3 linked regions of the Caenorhabditis elegans genome follow. The protein of the gene in region 1 purifies or fractionates together with the protein of each later gene. This does not show direct contact. Each region holds a gene or a part of one and is shown in the gene's direction. Other genes may lie near its edges.

Region 1 (7,923 bases):
AAAATGGCATTCCATTCGGGAACCTGTTAATGTAAAATAGCAATGTACCTTTAAAGTACGGTAGCACAACTTTGAGACAATTATCTGGAATTTGTCCCAAATCCTGCTCCCTCGACAATCCTTCGAAATCGAATATTCTGTCTCAGTTATTTTTGGAACAATGGCTGCGCTTTTTGAAGAGAATGATTCTTATTCGGTGAGTTTCTGGATTAACAAGAATAAAGTATAATTCAAGAATTTTAGGATTCCGAAAATGAAGAAGATTTTAGCGGCTTTTTGAGTGAAATCGAAGAAAATGAAAACGAGGATGAATTTGAAAACGACGATGAGTTTGAAGACGATGATGAGCTTGAAAATGTGGATGAACTTGAAGATGACGAATTATCCTCTGAAGAAGTGGACATCCCTTCCGAAAATGAAGTAATTGTCGAGCTTCACGATGGTCAAGGTGAGCAGTTTTATAGTTTTTTGCTCTTTTTCTGTAACAAAATATTTTCCAGCCGAAGTGGAGGAATCACTTCTTGATGCTCTTCTTGGAAAAGCATTGGCAGGAGATCAGATGAATTCTCGAATTGAAGGACTCTTCGAAGACTTGGACTCTTCAGTTGAACCTGATATCATCGATCGCAGCGAGTTAGAGGATGTGGACAGTGGTATTAGTGTTGGAGCTGTTAGTTCTTCCTCTGCAGAAACTCAAGCTTCTGATGCGAAATGCAAAAATAAGGATGCTTTCGACATGTCTTCACTTAAGAAGTATATGCAGTACATCACCGAAGAAGAGCATGCCGTATCAGTAGAAGATATTCCAGATTTTGCTTCCAAAAAGTAGGTCTTGAAGCTTTTCTGAATATTTTCTATTTCAACTCTTCATCCTTCCAGAAATGTGTATGGAACCAGCTTCAACGTTCGCAACGGAATCATGTCTCGTCCACCTCGTTTCGAATTTGCTCGTCACGATCAACGCTGGATCGATTCATGTGTATCCATGGCATACGAGAAAGACAAGACATTGAAAGAATTGATCACACTGGGAAAGTTGACAACAACTGTCAAGGCTGGAGCCAAAATTGAATTCAGAACCAAATTCACGGATGTTCATATTCGAAGTGCGGATGAAATTAACTTGATGGAGACACATGACATCCAACAGATAATCCGTGATGCATTGAATTCAAAGCGTCTCGCCGTGGTTCTCTTTGGTATTGGGAAAGACGGAAAAGTTACTGGATGCCACATGGGTCCTGGTCAACAAGATAATCTGCGTCTTGCTCTGGATACTGCTGTTCAAACCGAGTTTGCACCTCCAATTGAGAATATTCTCGACGTAGTTGACATGAACTTCGTTCCAGTTGAAGAAATGGATGAGACGTTTCTGATTGTCATTCGAGTGAAACAACTCCGTAATCAAGTCTATCGTTTAGAATCATCTGTTTGAAGTTGTTAATCTTCTGTTTTTGTTTTGTTCGTTGTTTCGCTTAATATCGCCTCCATTATATCTGTATCATGAAGTTTTGTACCAATTTCTGATTGTTGTTTAACGATATTCGTAGTATTCCTGCATGTGATTTGCTATTTTTATTTTTGAACGGTCGGTTAATTTTGAACAAAACAAGCAATTTGATTCCAGATAAATCAGATCATGTCTCGAAAATGCACAATTCGCTACGGAACCTCAATAATGCCAAGTTTTGCGAAGCTCATAGATGTTGCTCCTCCAACGGAAGCGGAATTTAATAATCCGTGCCTATTTCCCGAGAAACGAATTGCTGAGAATTCTGAGACTTCAACTCTCCGACGACCTTTTCTTTCAGCAATCCTTTCTGCGATCAGTGACCAAAAAGCATTATATTTGTGGCAGAAAGCAAAAATTGACGAAATGGGATTGAGTGCATTCAAATCAAGTATGACGGAAAGAATGTCACTGGGAACCAAAACTCATACAAAAGTTGAAGAGATGCTAAAATTAGGACACCACGAGTCAAAATTGAATAATCTTGTAATTATTGAATGCATTAAAAACACTGCAAAAATATTTATCTGGTCAATTTTCAGATCGATAATGAGAAAAATGCTGCTATCAGAAATTTCATGAAAAGTGCAATGCCCGTTATTCTGGAAATACAGGATCCGCAGAATGCAATTTGTGAGAAGAAAGTCAGGCATCCAACATTGGCGTATCAAGGAAGATTTGATGCAGTTGTCAAGTACAAGTTGGTGACGCGGACGTTTTCAAGTTTTGATTCACATATCAGCTGATTTCAGAGATTATTGGAACATATTAGATTGGAAAACTACTCCGGCACGATCCTCGTTCAGCACACAGCGCGAGGATAGTTTATCCTACACAAGCTATGTCCGTCAACTGGCTGCATACGCTTCTGCGTTTAATCATGATGTTAGATTTGAAAATCTACCTTTTGTAAGATGATGCTAGTTTTACGCTGAAAAAATTTTAATTGTAGGTGAAGCAAGGAATATTGGTTAGTCTGAAAGAAGATGGGTCACCTGCTGAAGTTTATCAAATATCTGAAGATGAAATGATGAGGACATTAGAAGAAGTCACAGAGAAACTGAATGAATTCTGGTGCAAAGTGACATCCGCCAATCAAGTTAATATTGATTTGGCGTATAAGCCCCCAAAATAATTGGAAAATGTGATGTTTTTCTATAAATAAATATTCTCACAACTCTTTTTCATGTTTTATATAATACAAAATGCACATCAAGCAGAAAAATTTCAACATAAAGTTTACACCAGAAGTGAATTTAGGGATGAAGAGGAACCAAATTACGTAAATACAAAAGTATCGAAACATGATAGATTTAACACTTCGAGCACAGGCCCTTGGCTTCGGTGAGAAGCTCTTTCTCGTTATCGTTGGTAGGGGTGATTTTGAGAGCCTGCTCAAAGAATGGCTTGGCAGCAGCCTTGTCTCCCTTTTGATGAAGAGCTTTTCCGAGGTAAACCGTGTTTTCAATCCAGTCTGGATTGATTTCATGAGCTGCTTGGAAGTCGGCGATAGCCTCCTCGACAGTGGCAGTTGGTGGCTCAGAGTACAGAAGTGCAGCAGCTTTGCGTTCAAACCACGAAAGATTGGCTACTGAAAGAGCCCAACGACCACGCAGATGAAGAAGAGCATCTTCCTTTGGCTGGATAGAGATGGCACGATCGAGATATTCCTTACAGTGTTTTCCCTCCTCAATCTTTTCCTTGGTTCCAAGGTACTCGGTGACCTTTCCCGACATCAATGCAGCCCAGCGAGCAGCCAAGAAGTTGTTGGAATCGGTGTTCCAGGCTTCGGTAGCGTACTTCTTTCCTTCAACGATGATGTCCTTTCTCTTGTCCTTCTCAACACGATTTCCAATTTCGTTACAGAATTTGGCCAAGCGCCAAAGAACATCAATGGACTTCTCTCCAGCATCGTATCTCTGCAAATTTAAAATTATATTTTATTGTTTAAATATATAAATGAACAGTCTACCTTCTTTAAAGCATCATACCCCTCCTGGACGCGGTCTGTTCCGAAAAGAGCATCAAGATCTTCGAAGGACATTGTTTTTGAATGAGCGGTGGTCTGAAATCAAATAACTTTTCGTTAAAAAGAGAACTTAAATATTTCTTATCATTTTGAATTGCCAGCAATCAGGCAAAGCTAAGGCATTTCGGAGGAAAGAAAATGAAAGAAGAAAAAAGAGAGCAAATTCGTATCAAAAATGGGAAGACAACAGAAGACGAGAACAGCAGTTTTGTGTATACTGATTCACGAGCGCTACGCGAGAAAGAAGAGAGTGACGGCTGTCAGAGGAAATAGGCAGTTAGAGATGTTCTTTATAGGCTACACACAAACAAAAAATGTTTGGAAGCACAGAATTCGTTCGAGAATATTCAAATGAATCATAGAAAATATATGTAAAAGTTAAAGAATATAAACTTGATATCGCTTTGCTAAAGATAACTTTGAAATGTTCAAATCTAAAAGTTTTACAGATATTTTCTGGCAACAAAAGATGGGAACAAAGTATAAGGTCCAGCATATTCTAGGGTTTTTTTCGAGAGAAGAAAGTCGGAAAAAGAAGACAAAAATACTCCAACTGACCTGCGATAAGGATCTGCTGAGCGATTTTGAGTCACCAAATGCGCGGTCGTCAGTGTACCTGCAAAAACGATTGAAAATTTTGTTGGTCAAAAAAAACAAGATTTTGATCTACCATGGTGGGTGAGTCATCGAAAAATATAAGTCTAGATGTTTTTTACCTGGCATCACAAATCGACAGAAATTGAATAATTATTAGTGACAAGATAATAATAGAATTCATTGTTGAAACAGAACTCAAGAGAAATGCAGACGTTTTCTCTCTCCCAAAAATCTTGTCTCACAAAGTGTAAAGAAGTTTCTTGGGAGCTCACGAGAACAGATTATCAGATGTAAAGGGTGACATCGGGCAAGAGTTGACGTCATTATTTATAGAGATCTATCTTATCTTTTCAATTTATGATTGTGGAGATTTTTAATCTTATCATTCTGATTTCTGGATCTATTATTGACATCTTTGGCAGCAAATGATTACCAATCTTCTTCGGCGTCTCCATACTCTGAATCTGAAGTAATCGAAGTCCAGCTTCTGGTCCTTGACATTTGTTTGTAGGTAGAAGGACGGCTATTACTCGCTTCTGAAAAATATATAATTTATATTTCTACTTTTTTTCAATTACCTAATTTGAAAGATACAGTCTTGAGAGCTCCACTACTCAAAGAAGTTCGAAGTGCGCGTTGACTTTTGATTTCATCGTACATGGTTTTCAGCAGAGTTTCGAGATCGTCAACTTTGGCACTAAAATTATTTTTTCTGAAACAACTTTCGTACTTCATTTTGATACCCTAGAACCTCGGTCATCATCTGAAGTCGTTCGATTTCGACGATATTTCGGTCATCTTTTCTTGCATAGTATAGAAATATACCTACAGCCGCACCTGTGGCTGCTGTTATTCCCACATATTTCCATACAGTTTCAGAACTTGTAGACGGCGTAGTCATCTGTTAAGCTTAGAAAATACCAATGGCTCACTGATTTAGAAGTATAAAGATTCAGGCAAGAACCGGACCGTTATGACACGTGACAAATTTTATAGACAACTGGAGTGTAAGAGATGGAAAAAGAAAAGAAGAAAAGCAAAGTGACATCGGGGAGGAAGTTTATTGAACGTAATAAAATATCAAAGGATCACTGAAATATCAGCTGGACAAATTCAAACAAAACAAATGAAAACAGTAATTAATTTTAGATAGATTAGATCTAATTACCCAATTTAGCTTTTTTCACTGGATTCTCTTCTCCTATTTCGAGAGCTTTCCGTGCCATGGCAATTGCTCCTTCACGAGTCAGATTTCCTCCAATGAATCCGGAAATGTGGACAAAGACTCCGCCTGGGATTCCACTTTCCTTCGAAAGATCGTCATCACGGAGACCACGCCAAGCAGCTGGAAGTGGCATGCGATTCTCGAATGATGACATTTTGTCGACTGGGATTGCTTGAACGCGCCACGAAGCATTGGTAGAATCTAGAAAACAGATAATAATTATTGAATTTTAAAAAATTAAATAATTTCTAACCCGAGAACAGAATGTAAGTGATATTATCGTCGGCAATATTCTTCTCTACTTCAATGTCGAAAAAGTGTTCTTTCCACGGGCATCCACCGTTCTCGATAAGAATGATCCTTCCAGATGCATCAATTTCAAATCGTTTATCCACAGCAGCTTCGATGATCTCTCTAGCTGGCCACCAAACATTTGCCAAGTACTTCACTGATCGTGAAAACTCTTCACCGATGAATTGCATTGCTTGTTGGAATCGTTCATCAGCATCATTCTCAGGTTCATTCCAATGGGAATTGAATTGACCAGTACGCGATGAAAGATTTCCTGATGAATGATATCTTGGAACTCCGTCGTATTGAGAAATCCCGTTATCAATGGCGTCGATTGATTCAACGAATTGCTCGTAGAGACGATGATAGAATAGATCAATCATCGAGGATGACACATTTCCACCAAGGATCTGAAGTTAATAGTTTCAAAACAACCTTTTGATTATTGAAAGTTACCTGATTGATGACTTCTCTCCCGTAGTGAGCGTAAACTAATCCTGCAGAGCTTAGTTTTGTATCAAAGTTAAGCTTCTCTAGAGTACGCATGGTATCAGTGAATCCACGTTGATGATGATCGTATCGTTGTTTTGAATGATCAAAGATTCCACCGACATCGACGATAATATCACACTTCTCCAGTTGAGCAGCGTCACGGGTTCTGAAATTACAGATTTCAGAACTCAGCTATAAAATAAATCCTAATAAAAAAGTGGGTCATTTCGCAAACTTGATAAACATGAAAAATCGAATTACCTTAAAATCGAATGATCCTTGAATTGTGGCAATTGTTTCAGCATGAAACAAGCAAAAGCCTCATCGCAATGGAATTTTCCGGAGTGAGTACCAATGAGCGATGTCATCTTGTGACCGAACTGTCCAAGAAGTCGTGAAATCACCTGCAGAGAGAAAACATTTTAAAAATCAAATTACCTATCTTTATGAAACCGTTATCAATAAGTAGTTTAAGATATGATGCTCACGTTCAAAACGAAATTTAGAGGTAATAAATAATAAACACAGAATAAATTTCAAGTAATTTATGAAAACGTTAGTCATGGAATGAATTTTTGAAACCGGGCTTTAAAAAAAAGTAAGTACAATATCTACAATTGAAAAATTTGATTGAAACGGGCGACACTTTTGCAAAATGTTATGCGAACGACATTCCAGGGTACTTCACGTTAGTTTGGAGAAAATGTTCCATTTCGTGTCGAGTCCGTGGCTGTGCATAGTCACCGATGTAATGTTCCTTGTAAGTTCGATAAAGCTCTTTCGCTTTTTCACATGATAAATGAGCATAATGAACCGGAACAGGCAACGAGATGGGTTTTCGACATCTAGCAGAGAGAAAAGCAAGTCCGTAGGTCATTTTCTGAAACATTTTTTTATAATAACTATATGCGGATTACAAAATCCTAAAATCGCTAACTGCTATTCAAAACGCTTACATAGACTTCATCTTGGCTCATTCCTTTATCGTCATACATAACAGTGTAATGTCCTGGACGAGATGTACCAAGGACACCATGATGAGATGCCAAGAAAAAATCGAATTTGTATTTCGAAACGATAAGTTTATCCACAGTTGTTCCGGATGATGGGTTCACAATTCCAGTTTCTTTGCTTTCTTTCATATCCTCCTCCCATTGTTTAACAGCAGCAACAGCGACATCTGTTTCAGCAGGAGTAAGATCTTTATTGACCACTGGCTTATCTTTTTCCATTCTTCGAAGCAATCGTGTATTGTGTCTTTTCTGAATCACAATGAACGTGTACTTCGGCTCTGGATCTTCTCCATCCCGTTCCGACATGAATTGTTTTACTTCGCTTTTTAAAGATCGAAGCTCATCATGACTAACACGTAGCATCTCCGAATCGCTAACTCCGTCTCGATAGACTACAATATGCGCTGGTGCTCGATTGTCGTTGTTCTGAAAGTTTACAAAAAAATTAAAAATCCCAGAGATCTTTTAAATACTCAAGACAACTCACTTCTGCGAATTCTCTGAGCAATTTCACGAACTTTGCTTCCAAAATATCTGTTCTTTCCCGTCCATGAGCCACTGCACGCTCACCGGGACGACATTCTTCTTGAGTCACAATCATATTTCGATAGATAGTTCCACCTGGATTGATACTCGCTACTACAGCCGCTATAGAATAATCAATTCCACTGTAGGAGGTTGGATGAGTTACATCAATTCCAACATACATAGTTAATGGCATTGTTTTCCGTCTTTCTTTTTCTTCTGGTGATATTTCTGCAATTTC
Region 2 (6,002 bases), on another chromosome or scaffold:
TTACAGTATTCAAATTACAATCTGAAACTTATGCAATCTTTCAGATTATCTCACTATCACCATTCCTAATTCTTCCACATTCCTAATCGAGGTAAAAGGTACACCGCCACGTGTGTTGCAAGAGGATTATCAAAAGAAGAGCAATTTGTACGAGTACACAACACAAACAACCATTTTATTGGATTGCGTGGAAGACGCAACAGAGCCGGAAAGAGAGCTGACAGATGTGCTCGGTCGGATGCTTTGTGACGGAACATGGATAGTAACAACAAGGCTACAATTTGAGCGGCACGGTTATACAGGTGTAACTGCCAGCAAAGCACTTGAAGTTGGAGGGAAATTTTGAATCAATGTCTAGCAAAATAATAAAAAAATTATTTACGTAACCTTTTATAAAATTTACGTTACAGGCTTTATCAAAATGTCGATCTTTCGACAAAAATCAGTATTAATTTATTTTGGAAGTTTTTTGCCAAATTACTAAAAGGTGAGTAGGGGGAATTTCAAAGTGATCATTTTGCAGTCAGACTAGGGAGGGGGGGGGGGGGTGGTGATAATTATAACAAAATAATTTCACGTGACCTTTTCTTATCAAAAGAAAACTTCCAAAAGGGGGAATTCGAAAAATAAATCAATAATAATTCTCCGACAAATTACTAAAAGGTATGTAAGGGCAGACTTTTCTTTTAGCCTAAACAGTTGTGTTAACCAAATGTTAATGTAATGGCTTGAAATTTGTATCTAATTCAATTCACATTTACAGTAACTCAAATAAAATGGGCGACTTGATCCAGCTAAGTGTCGGTACAAAAGTAAAAAAGTGGCAAATTGATAAGAAACTCGGAGAGGGTGCATTTGGTGCAGTCTACAAGTGTTCCAACCCGAAAGGAGACCTTTTTGCACTTAAAGTCGAGGGAAAAGACGAGAAAATTCAGTTGTTGAAAATGGAAGTCTACGTGTTGAATGAGTTGAAGAAGGCCGGAGGACGTCATTTCTGTAATATCGAGGATAAGGGACAAGTCGATAATTTCAATTATGTCGTGATGACATTTGTTGGGTTGTCACTTGCCGATTTGAGAGCCATTTCACCAACTAAGAAATTCTCGTAAGTTTTCTTTCAGAGAAACGGTTTTACAGAGATCTGGCAAAACGGAAGTTATTGTTCCCGTTGGATCTCCCAGAATTCAATCACCAAATTGCCTTTCCAGAATGGGAACCGCTATCTCCATTGCCCGTCAATCGCTGGAGGCACTCGAGGACATGCACAACATTGGATATCTCCATCGTGACGTCAAACCTGGCAACTACACAATCGGACGTGCCGAGGTCAATGAGCTTCGCAAAGTTTATGTGCTGGATTTCGGTATGGCTCGTAAATTTGCTCACGAGGATGGAACTATCAAGAAGCCCCGTAACGTCGCCGGGTTCCGTGGGACTGTCAAGTATGCGCCTGTCAGTTGTCATGCTGGACGTGAACTCTGTCGTCAGGATGATTGCGAAACGTGGCTTTACATGGTGGTGAGTGTGTATTCGGATCAAAATATTATCTGCTTTTCAACTAGATTTGAATTCGCGCTTAAAGTCACTTGCGCGATAATTCAAACTCTGCCATTTTAAGGAAGGCAGAAAGCTTATCAGAAATTGAAATTGATCCGAAATCTAACATTTTAAATGTTAAATTTCCAGGTTGAGCTCACTAAAGGGTCCCTGCCATGGCGTAATATGACAGAAATCCAGGATGTTGGAAATGAGAAGCGTGCTATTCGCCGTGATCCCATCGTCAAGAAGAAGATGTTCGGAGGGTAAGAGACAGATTTTCTAAAAAACTATTTTTGAAGTGTTGAAAAAACTTTCATCACCCGTCTCTGTTTCAAAACCTATCTTATTTCAGCTGTCCACGTGAGTACCTTGACATTCTCGAAGCGATCGATAAGGGACAATTCTTTGATGAGCCGAACTATGAACGGATCTACTATCTTTTGAGAGAGGCAATGAAGAATACGGGATCCACTGAATATCCGTATGATTGGGAGCAATCTCTTATGAAGAAAACGAAGGAAGAACAGGAAAAGAAGAAGAAAGGAGTTGTAGATCAAACAGAAAAGGTTATCAAGAAAAAAGAAGTTGAGTTGGCAGAGGGAAAATCTCATAAGGAGACTAAGGAGGTTACCAAAGTCAGTAAGGAAATTGTTGAGGAAAAGAAGGAAGAGAAGAAAGAGGAGAAAAAGGAAGAGAAAAAGGAAAAGTATGAAGACGATAAGAAGGAGGAGTTGTATTGATTGACTTTCGAGAAAAATAAATTATTTTTGAATGTTTCATGTGATATCTAGTTTTTTATCCTACGCGTACGTGATTATTTTGAATATTGGAGTTTCTCATTAGTAACATTGCTTTTTGTTCGAAGCATTCAGGATGAGGTCACCTGGGTTTCCTGCCATGCTCAGTTACTACAACATTGACATCTGTTGCAACTATTCAGTTAACTATCGATCTATATTCTTTTGCAGTCATTCATTTTTGCCTAACACAACTATAATGGCTGCCGTTTCTGAATTTCGTCTTCTTCAATTGCCTGAAAGAGCTCAACGAATTTCACTCTCGCACATGAGTTATAATTCAATGTAAGTTTATTTTGTTAACAAACAACCAGTTTAGTCATTTTCTTTTTCAGATTCTCACTCTCCCTGTGCTCCACAAAAAAAAACAAAAGACCTCGTTCGAAATTTCAATATAAAGTTCTATCGATTTTCTTTAGAAATATTTGGCGACATTGCTCTGATTATTAGCTGCGAAAACAGTCAAATCGATTTTAGTCTAATTCATTGAGCAGTAAAAAAACGTTACACCAGGATGATGTGCTACGAAAAACGTTAGATTTTTTGCAAATAGAGTGGAGAGTTTTGTATGGAAACGACCAAACTTGACATTTAGAAATTGGATAGATCACTTTCTCAATATTCTAAATATTTCAACTTTGAATGTTATAATGGCAAAGAGAAATGTTCATGTTGATTTTGAAGATCTTAATAGTTGTTTAGAAGGAGTACCTATACGAACGCTCACCTATGAAGGTATTGAAATAACTTCAGATAGAATTAATCGAAAGCATCCCGTTAGTGATACATTTTTATCAAAAGCGGGGTTTCTTGATTTTTATAATTGCACGTATAAAAGCTCACAGTTCATTCACAAGTTTCTCATTCATAATACTACGACGGTATTCACTCGTGGAGTGCCGCGATATAACCTGAATGATTTGCTGGTGTCTAATGGCCAAAAAATTTACGTTCAAGTCGGTAGAGGCATCATTTTTTTGGAAAAAGATGTCAATAAATTTTTAAAGCATTGGATACGTGGGTCCAATAGAGAACTTAAATCATTGGCATTCAGAGCTCCGATGAATATGGAAATAGAACATGCTATAGAAACAATATTAAAAGGAATATGTTACAAGGATGCACGAGAAGAAGATGCAGCTTCTATTAAACTGGTTCACATCTGCAATGGAAATACCTTTAAACATCCAATAATCAAAATAAGTGGTTTTCGTATTAAACGATTCGATGGAACAAATGCAACAGTTGTAATCAGATTATTAAATGCAAATAGTGTATGTTGTAATGTTGATATGTTTGTTTCCTAGATTCTTGTTTTAATGCACTCTCATTAATTGTACTTTTTATGAACACATATTTATACTCACTTTCCCTCTGACTCTGTCCCCTCCGAGGCACTGTCCCTTTGACCGCTATTTTTTGCTGCTTACCTTTCTTTGTTTCCTTTCTTTTCACTCATGGGACGAAATAAATAATAATCTTAAACGGAAGAGTGCTGGAGCATTCAGATACATTATTTTGAGTATTCGTCTCGAGGGCTGTGTAATTGATTTTAATCTGTACATGCTGAATAGTTGTGAGAAAATTACACCAGGACTATGTGCACCGGAAAAGGTTCGACGTTTTACAAATGATGTGGTAAATTTTGAATTAAAGCAACCAAACTTGAAATTTAAACATTGGATAGATCACTTTCTTAATATTCCCAATATTTAAACTTTAGATTTTGCAATGGGAAGGAAAAATGTTAATGTTGATTTTTGAAAATCAGGTTTTTTCGTTTGAAACATTTAGGATGAGGTCACCTGGGATTCCTATCATGCTCATTGTCAGTCACTACAACATTGCCATCTGTTGCAACCATTTAGTCAGATATCGATCTATATTCTCTTGCAGTCACTTCATATGTCTTGCATTTTCTGCATAACACATCTATAATGGCTGCCGTTTCTCCATTTCGTCTTCTTCAATTGCCTCAAAGAGCTCAACGCATTTCACTTTCGCACATGAGTTCTGTTTCTGTGTAAGTTTATTTTGTTAATACAACCAGTTTAGTCACTTTCTTTTTCAGATTTTCACTCTCCTTGTGTGCCACAAAAAATACAAAAGACCTCGTTCGGAGTCTAAATCTGAAGTGCATACGATTGTGTTTAGAATTCTTTGATGACCTTATTTTGAGTATTTGCTTCGAAGGCTGTATAATTGATTTTTATCTGTACATGCTGAATAGTAGTCAGAAAATTACACCAGGACTATGTGCACCGAAAAATGTTCAAGTTTCTACAAATGATGTGAAAAATTTTAAATGGGAACGACCAAACTTAAAATTTAGAAATTGGATAGATCACTTTCTTTATATTCTCAATATTTCAACTTTAGATGTTGCAATGGGAAGTAGAAATGTTAATGTTGATTTTGAAAATCTTCATAGTTGTTTAGAAGGAGTTCGTGTAAAAAAGTTATCTTATCATATACTGGACATGACTTCAAATGAAACCAACCGAACAAATTCCGTTAATGATACATTTTTATCAAAAGCAGAGTTTATTGTGTTGTCTAATTGCACGTATGAAACCTCACAGTCTATTCACAAATTTCTTATTTGTAATAATGCGACACTATTCTCTAATGTTTTTTCTCCATATAATCTGAATGATTTACTCATATCCAATTGCCAAAACCTTCTCGTTAACGTTGATAGAGGCAACATTTTTTTGGGACAAGATGTGAACAAATTTTTAAAGCACTGGATACGTGGATCAAATGTAACACTCAAATGTTTGGCATTAGAAGCTCCGATGAATATGGAAAGAGAACTTGTTATAGAAACAATATTAGAAGGAATTGATTACAAGGTTAAAGAAGAGGAGGTGTCAGTTTATAAGAAAATGCTTGATATCTTCAATCACGGAAATCCTTCAATTACCAAAATTCGTGGTTTTCGTATTACACGATTCGATGGTACAAATTGCGATGTTGTAATCAGAACATGCAATCCGAGTGTTATGCGGTACAGCCTAAATATGTTTATTTTCTAGTTTTGTTCTGTTTTGATACACTCTCATTAATTGTATTTTTTATGAACACATATATATGCACATATTTGTTGCTTCTAATTGTTTTGTTAATTGGAAAAACTGGAAAATGGAATAAATATTGGAATAAAAACGTGAAATAAGAAACCACAATTCAAAAATGACGTAGTGGATGTGGAGATAAACCTTTAAGAATAAATCAATTTATTATTTTTTCACATCGACTCGGAGGATGTCGTCGTTGAATGAGGATGTTGACGAGAGTAATCATATTTTTTATGATCCGGTCACACTCTTGAGACCGGTTTCACGAGCGATTAGCATGAATTTGGATCAAGTAAGAGTTTTTGAAATATTTTAATGCATTGCACTAAATGTGCCTCGCAAAACTTGAATTTTCAGCTTAACTTCGTCACTGTTCTTCTTCTATCATTCGGTTTGGGCTACTGGTTCCGTGTACAATTTTGTGATGCAAGTCGGACAACTCGTGCAGCAGTCACTACATCAGTTGGGCTAATTTTCACCTATTTTTGCTATGGAAAGTGAGTTTTGAGATGAAGTAGATTAAAAAAAAAGGGTTTTCAGTGCCATAGCTCATTTATTCATCAACGGGTTTGGAAGTTACCTTCTC
Region 3 (5,892 bases), on another chromosome or scaffold:
GAAATAGATTACTATGACGTTTGAAGAAAAAAAAATCTAATTCAAAATACCTTTTTGACAAAGTAATGTTACCACTTTCATGGATTTCTATGTTGTATAAATTACGACTTTCTTCGAGATTATACGAGAAAGGAAAATATACATGGGGCAACCAAAAAATGTGGAGTAAACTTTCTGGAAAAAAAAATCAAATATTTGAAACAAGAATTTGCTTACTGATCCGGACAGTTTTGTGGCAGGCGTTGAGATTGGTAAAATCCAAAGTGGTATTCTGAAAATTTTTTATTAAAAAATAAAATATAAAAAGTAACGCCACTTTGAATATATTCTTCATACAGTGCCGGCCATAATTCTATCCAATTGTCGATTTTTGATAAATTTACAAATTTTTCGAACGAGCACAACTTAAAAACTGAGCATGCTATCAAAAAAATTTCAACTAAAGAAATATTGTCCATAATTACGTCTACTTGTATTCAGTTGTTTAAATTGTTTGCCAGTGTCATGACAAGAAATACAGCGGCCGACATCTCGTGAGCCCGTTTTTGACAACTTTTACTGATTTGCCCGTATCTCGAAAACTAATTTTTTTCTGGAAGTGTTTTTAAAGTAAAATCATCTTTATACTACTTGAAATCATGTGTGTCTTCTCACGTTGTTCTGAAAAATTCAGCAAAAAAGTTATGAGAGATTAAACTTGAATAAAATGTGTACGACAACAAACACGCATGAGCAGTGCCAAGTGAGGGACTAGTTTGCACTTCCATAACTTTTTTGCTGAATTTTTCAGAACAAAGTGAGTAGGCACAAATGATCGCAAGTAGAATGAAGATTATTTTACTTCAAAAACATTTCCAGAAAAAAAATTAGTTTTCGAGATACGGCCGAATCAGTAAAAGTTGTCAAAAACGGGCTCACGAGATGTCGGTCGCTGTATTTCTTGTCATGACACTGGTAAACAACTTAAACAACTAAATACAAGTAGACGTAGTTATTGACAATATTTCTTTAGTTGAACTTTTTTTGATTGCATGTCCAGTTTTTAAGTTGTGCTCGTTTGAAATTTTTAAATTTATCAAAAATCGAAAATTGGATAGAATTATGGCCGGCACTGTATAACTCAAATTTAAAAAAAAAGTTTCAATTATAAAGTTTACTTCTTTATTCTCATTTCCTGAAAGCACAGAAAATGTTTTATTCAAAAAAAAATTTGTAAGTTACAAAGTAATTTACACATTTTATAATGTAAGTTTTTGTAAATTTTAACATAAATAGTGGCAATAATATAAACATTCCTGGATAGAGATCTAAAATTTCAAAAAATCTGAAAAGTAGAGATTTTTTAAGTTATGAAAAATAAGCCAAAATAACCGGATACAACTGTTAAACTTACAGCATTTTTCTTATTTTTAAAAAGATTTTCCAGTTTTTCAAAAGTTTTTTTTGGCAGGAGCTTTTCGAATTATCAAATTTTCTATACTGGAATATTTTTTGAAAATATGAATAAAGATGCTTAAAATTGTATAATTCATTGAAAAATGAAGAAATAACAAAAATTAATCAGGAAATTTAAAACTTGTTCAGTCATGTTATATATGTTTGATGAAAGTAAAGCTTTTTTTTAAAACTTTTTTAGAGTGAACGTTTTTTTGTTATGTTTTTAATAAAATTGTCACTTGTCTTCATTGCGGGGATATAATACAGAATTACCCAACATATTTATATTCAAAATAGTCCAAAATCACTTCTTGGAAATAAATTTAACTCACAGTCCAACTCATTTCAAAAAAACCTTCTGTGCTCAACTCGTGCGCTACTGAATTGTACAACCATTTGGCAATCTTATAGTTCGACTTTATCACAATTTCACCTGAAAATTATTTTTTTTCAACACCACTTTTTCACAATAAGTTACCAGAAGAATGTGAATTTCTTCCTAAGAGATCAGCAATCACATCTTCATCACTTGTGCAATCATCGCATAATACTACTATTGGGATAAAAATCAACAGTATCCAAATGCGATACTTCATTTTAAGGATCAGGTCTAAAAAATTAGGATAAATCAAATTATTTTCAGGGATGAAGTAGTGAGAAAGAATATTTTGTTTAAAAAAATCTGCACGATGCCAGTGAATTTTCTCAAGAAAAAAAAGAGTTGTAACATAAAGTACAAAAAAAGTTGCCGTTATTGAAGTAAAATTCTACGGCCCCACCATATTAGGTCATTGGAGAGAAATTCAAATTCTCTCAGAAAAATTTTTGACGGAGAGTTCAAATTCTCTGAGAAAAAATTTTGACTAGAAATTTAAATTTGCTAAAAAAAACCCGGAGAACTGTGAAAAGTTGATACATAGGTAATTTAAATTTCGCATCAAAAATTGAGAATTTGAAAAAGTGAACAAAAAGGAAAAAGTGATTCATTAAGAAGGAAACAAAAAGAAAAATAATTGAGAGAGTAAAGAAAAGAACTGCATTCCCCCTTCAATCCAATTGTAAGTAATGTTTCTTATCAAATTTAGGGAGAAATATCTCTTCATTCAACGCAAAAAAAACAACAAGGCGGGATTTTACCGATCGGATAGAAAAAGTGGAAAAAAAGGAAAATACTTTTGAAGACAAGATTGATTACAGAATTTAGTTTTAAAAGTAGAATAGCGCCAGAAAAAATAGTGAAAAGCCATTTCTGTGTGATAAAATAACACGGTAAAAACTGTCAAATTAGTTTCAACTTTTTTGTTTGAGTCAAATTCTAAGACCACAAGATATTCGGTTTATTTCGATAATCAAAATGATATTACTCAACAAACTCCCACTGGGGCTTCTCCACCTGAAACTTAATTTTTTTGTTTCTACTATTTCTGGGGTTTGTTCGCATTTTCACATGGTTTTTTTGTAAATTTTTTGTAAAAAGCATACCTATCTAAAAAAAAATTTCCTGTTGGTTGATTTTGAATCAGCTTTGATCTGAATAGAATTTTTTCTTTACTGGTAAATAAAATTAAGAGATTCTTTTCCAGTATCTGGTCAATTCAAAGTTATTTTATTTACAAAGTGAACGTTTTTTTATATCAAAAAGTGTTTACTCAAACTTCGCTCAAAAGATGTTTATCAGAGGTAATTAATTTCGTTCCAAATTTATTACATTAGTCCAAAAATCGGATTTGAAAATAAATCACAAATTATTTATTCGAAAAAGAAGATGACAAGAGAAACATAACATTGGAAAACCAACAGAACATTGAAAATGAACAGTGAAAATTTATGAGAAATCTGTCCATTTTGCTTTGGAAGAAGAAATGATAAGAATCTGGTTTTGGTAGAATGTATATACATATATGGTCACCTCTTTTTCATTTCGTGTTACACGTTTTAAATTAGTTTTTTGAAGTGTAAGTTTTATAAAAGCAGATATAGGTGATCTACTCAAAAGTTCCACTTTTAATTGACAGTAATTTGTAACATAATTTATTCAATGTTTTATACTGATTGTAAAATTAAAATATTTTTTTCAAAAGAAGTACTACAATATATAATTTATTTCTAAAAAATCTGAAAAAAATTCACAGAAACCCTTTGAAACTATACTTGTTTTTATTTCAGTTAGTTCAGGACCTGAAATTTCTCTGCAATTGTAATTTGAACCAGGAGTGGGCGGTAATCGCCGTTCAGCAGTTTTTTGTCGACAGATTCGGCAAATCGGCAAATTGCCGATTTGCCCATTTGCCGGAAAACTTTGCCAAGAGGTTGTTTTGAAACACTCAAAACTGTGTTTTTTTTTCAAATTTGTTCCCGTTTTCTTCAATATTTTATTACAATTCGCTTAGTTTTCAAAATTGATGTAGGAGCATTCATAGCATGCGTACAACTTTGACGATTAAAATTGAAGTTCTGAAATTTCCAAAAAAAAAGTACACAACCACGATTTGTTGAAAATTTCATGCAAATTCGCCAAATCGACAATTGCGGTTTTTGCCGATTTGCAGGAAATTTCAAGTTCCGGAAACTTGCCAATTTGCCGGAAATTTCAATTCCGACAATTTGCCGATTTGCGGATTTGTCGAAAAAAAAACCATTGCCGCCCACCCCTCATTTGAACCTGTGATTTGATTTTTTAAGGTTCTTCTGTTTTTCCTCTCCGATAACTATTCTCAAAATTAAATTCAAATTCTTTTTGGTCACCACTACCACTAATGCAACTCTCTGATAAGAAAACTTATCGAGTGACCGGTACGAAAGAACCCTGACATTCAACATTTTTGATGTAGTTGAGCATGAGGCTGACCTTGATAAGGAATTTTTACCCTCATCCCTCCCCTCACTTTCTCTTTTTTGACAGCTGCTGCGTGGTGTGTGTGTCTGTGCTCAATCGTTCCCGTCTTGATTTCGAAAATGGTTGTGTTATAAACTTTGTTAACAAGTAAAAAACTGTTAGTATTTTCAGCCTGTACACGCCTGTGTTGCCCATCAAATTTACCAAAATTCTCCAATTTCTATGAAGAATGAAATAAACTCACATGTTGTACTTTCAGGACTTTGTTTGACGTAAGTGTATTTTATATAATTTGTCTAATTGTTACAAATCAAGTATACCTATATATATATATATTGTTTTGTTCTAACTACCTAAAATCTAAGCACTGACCAAGTTAGCCATTAGCACTGACCAAAATAATTATCAGCACTCACAATCGGAAATGCCTATTTTCAGTAGTATTCCAAGCACAGTTCTCAAAAACCGTACTCGTATAGAAAAACTCACATTGGACAACAATGTTCTTACTGAAAATTCTTTCAATATGCCAAAGTTCGCCAATCTTAAAGAACTTTCAGTCAGAAATAATAAGGTGAGTTCAATAATTGAAAAACTGTTTCCATTTTCTTTTTTCAGATTCGAAACCTAGGAGTGCTTCTTGCAAACATTCAGAAAAATTGTCCCAATATAGAAGTGCTCCGAGTAAAAAACAATCCTGGAATTCCAGAAAAATTCACAGAAAAGGAGTGAGTTCCTTTTTGCTCGGGTTCCAAAAATAATCAATTTTGTTTTCACTTGAAAATTAAATGACTATACAAACAGTTTTTATCACCGTTTTTTATTTTGCAATGTATAGCATCGTGTTGAATTCCCATTTCCACCATAAACAGCTCTTCAAAAATAAAAAATATTAAAATTAAAAAATATCAACTTTTTTTTTCAGAAAAATGTTGATTTCAAAGGTTTTGAAAAAACTACGTGTGTTGAATGGTCTAGAAACACACCGCCAAAAACGTTATTCGGGATGCTCCACCGACTCGAAAACATCATCAGGGTCCGAGTGACAACTTAAGTTGCTTGTTTTTTCTACATTTTTTGTTACTTTTGCATAAAAACAACAATAAATCTTTTTTTTCTATTTCCTTCTTATACATTTCTTTTTTATCCACCATTATTTTTGGGCGGCAAGCGGTTTTCTTTTAAAAGCCACATGCTTTATCCCACGAAGAAAATGGGAAAATGGAGGTTAACGTAAATGGAATTGAATTGCATGTTGAATAGAAAAAAAAGAATGTGCGTGCTCCTGTCCGAAGACTCAAGTACGTGTTTAACCGAGTGGAAACTCACCACCAATTGTTTTTTCGGCAACCGATGGGAGTGGATAGAGGGAGGGATGATCATCGAATTCAGGTGCTCAATTGAGTTTTGTGCAACCTCTCAAAGCTTTTCCCTAGTTTTTTTTTTTTTTTCTTGTGTAGATGTCATGAAACACATAACTTAAGACTTGAAATAATAGTTCTTAAAATTATATTATTGTTGCAATACAAGTTGGAAATTGTTTGAGATTATTACTAGGTTTCAACTTGTGCACGTGGCAAGTTTGATCTGTACATACAACAATTTTGATCCGCGCCGTA

What was found.
Region 2: the proteins of C27H6.9 (region 1) and C08F8.15 fractionate together in Caenorhabditis elegans (co-fractionation; one large-scale study listed by BioGRID). This does not show direct contact.
Region 3: the proteins of C27H6.9 (region 1) and T19D7.6 fractionate together in Caenorhabditis elegans (co-fractionation; one large-scale study listed by BioGRID). This does not show direct contact.

Annotation. Positions count from the first base shown.
Region 1 is NC_003283.11:9,981,241-9,989,163, forward strand, and holds C27H6.9 (Mitochondrial genome maintenance exonuclease 1), read left to right. Parts: upstream 1-1,627; 5' UTR 1,628-1,639; coding exon 1,640-1,996; intron 1,997-2,052; coding exon 2,053-2,210; intron 2,211-2,262; coding exon 2,263-2,419; intron 2,420-2,462; coding exon 2,463-2,645; 3' UTR 2,646-2,692; downstream 2,693-7,923. Other genes in the region: tofu-1 (Schlafen-like protein 1), read left to right, coding at 161-196, 244-448, 501-825, 880-1,435; rmd-2 (TPR_REGION domain-containing protein), read right to left, coding at 2,824-3,429, 3,483-3,575, 4,098-4,155, 4,570-4,672, 4,715-4,833, 4,880-5,037; MYG1 protein C27H6.8, read right to left, coding at 5,297-5,562, 5,615-6,062, 6,109-6,310, 6,406-6,512; rde-1 (Piwi domain-containing protein), read right to left, coding at 6,803-7,024, 7,101-7,583, 7,645-7,923.
Region 2 is NC_003282.8:11,159,063-11,165,064, reverse strand, and holds C08F8.15 (F-box domain-containing protein), read left to right. Parts: upstream 1-4,257; 5' UTR 4,258-4,273; coding exon 4,274-4,359; intron 4,360-4,407; coding exon 4,408-5,374; 3' UTR 5,375-5,502; downstream 5,503-6,002. Other genes in the region: C08F8.6 (non-specific serine/threonine protein kinase), read left to right, coding at 777-1,105, 1,209-1,518, 1,687-1,802, 1,892-2,279; fbxb-9 (F-box domain-containing protein), read left to right, coding at 2,536-2,621, 2,672-2,786; mboa-4 (Membrane Bound O-Acyl transferase, MBOAT), read left to right, coding at 5,604-5,708, 5,774-5,913, 5,957-6,002.
Region 3 is NC_003284.9:669,184-675,075, reverse strand, and holds T19D7.6 (LRRcap domain-containing protein), read left to right. Parts: upstream 1-4,275; 5' UTR 4,276-4,392; coding exon 4,393-4,395; intron 4,396-4,444; coding exon 4,445-4,545; intron 4,546-4,711; coding exon 4,712-4,847; intron 4,848-4,891; coding exon 4,892-5,001; intron 5,002-5,198; coding exon 5,199-5,319; 3' UTR 5,320-5,392; downstream 5,393-5,892. Other genes in the region: lgc-32 (Neurotransmitter-gated ion-channel ligand-binding domain-containing protein), read right to left, coding at 51-174, 217-271, 1,770-1,870, 1,916-2,033.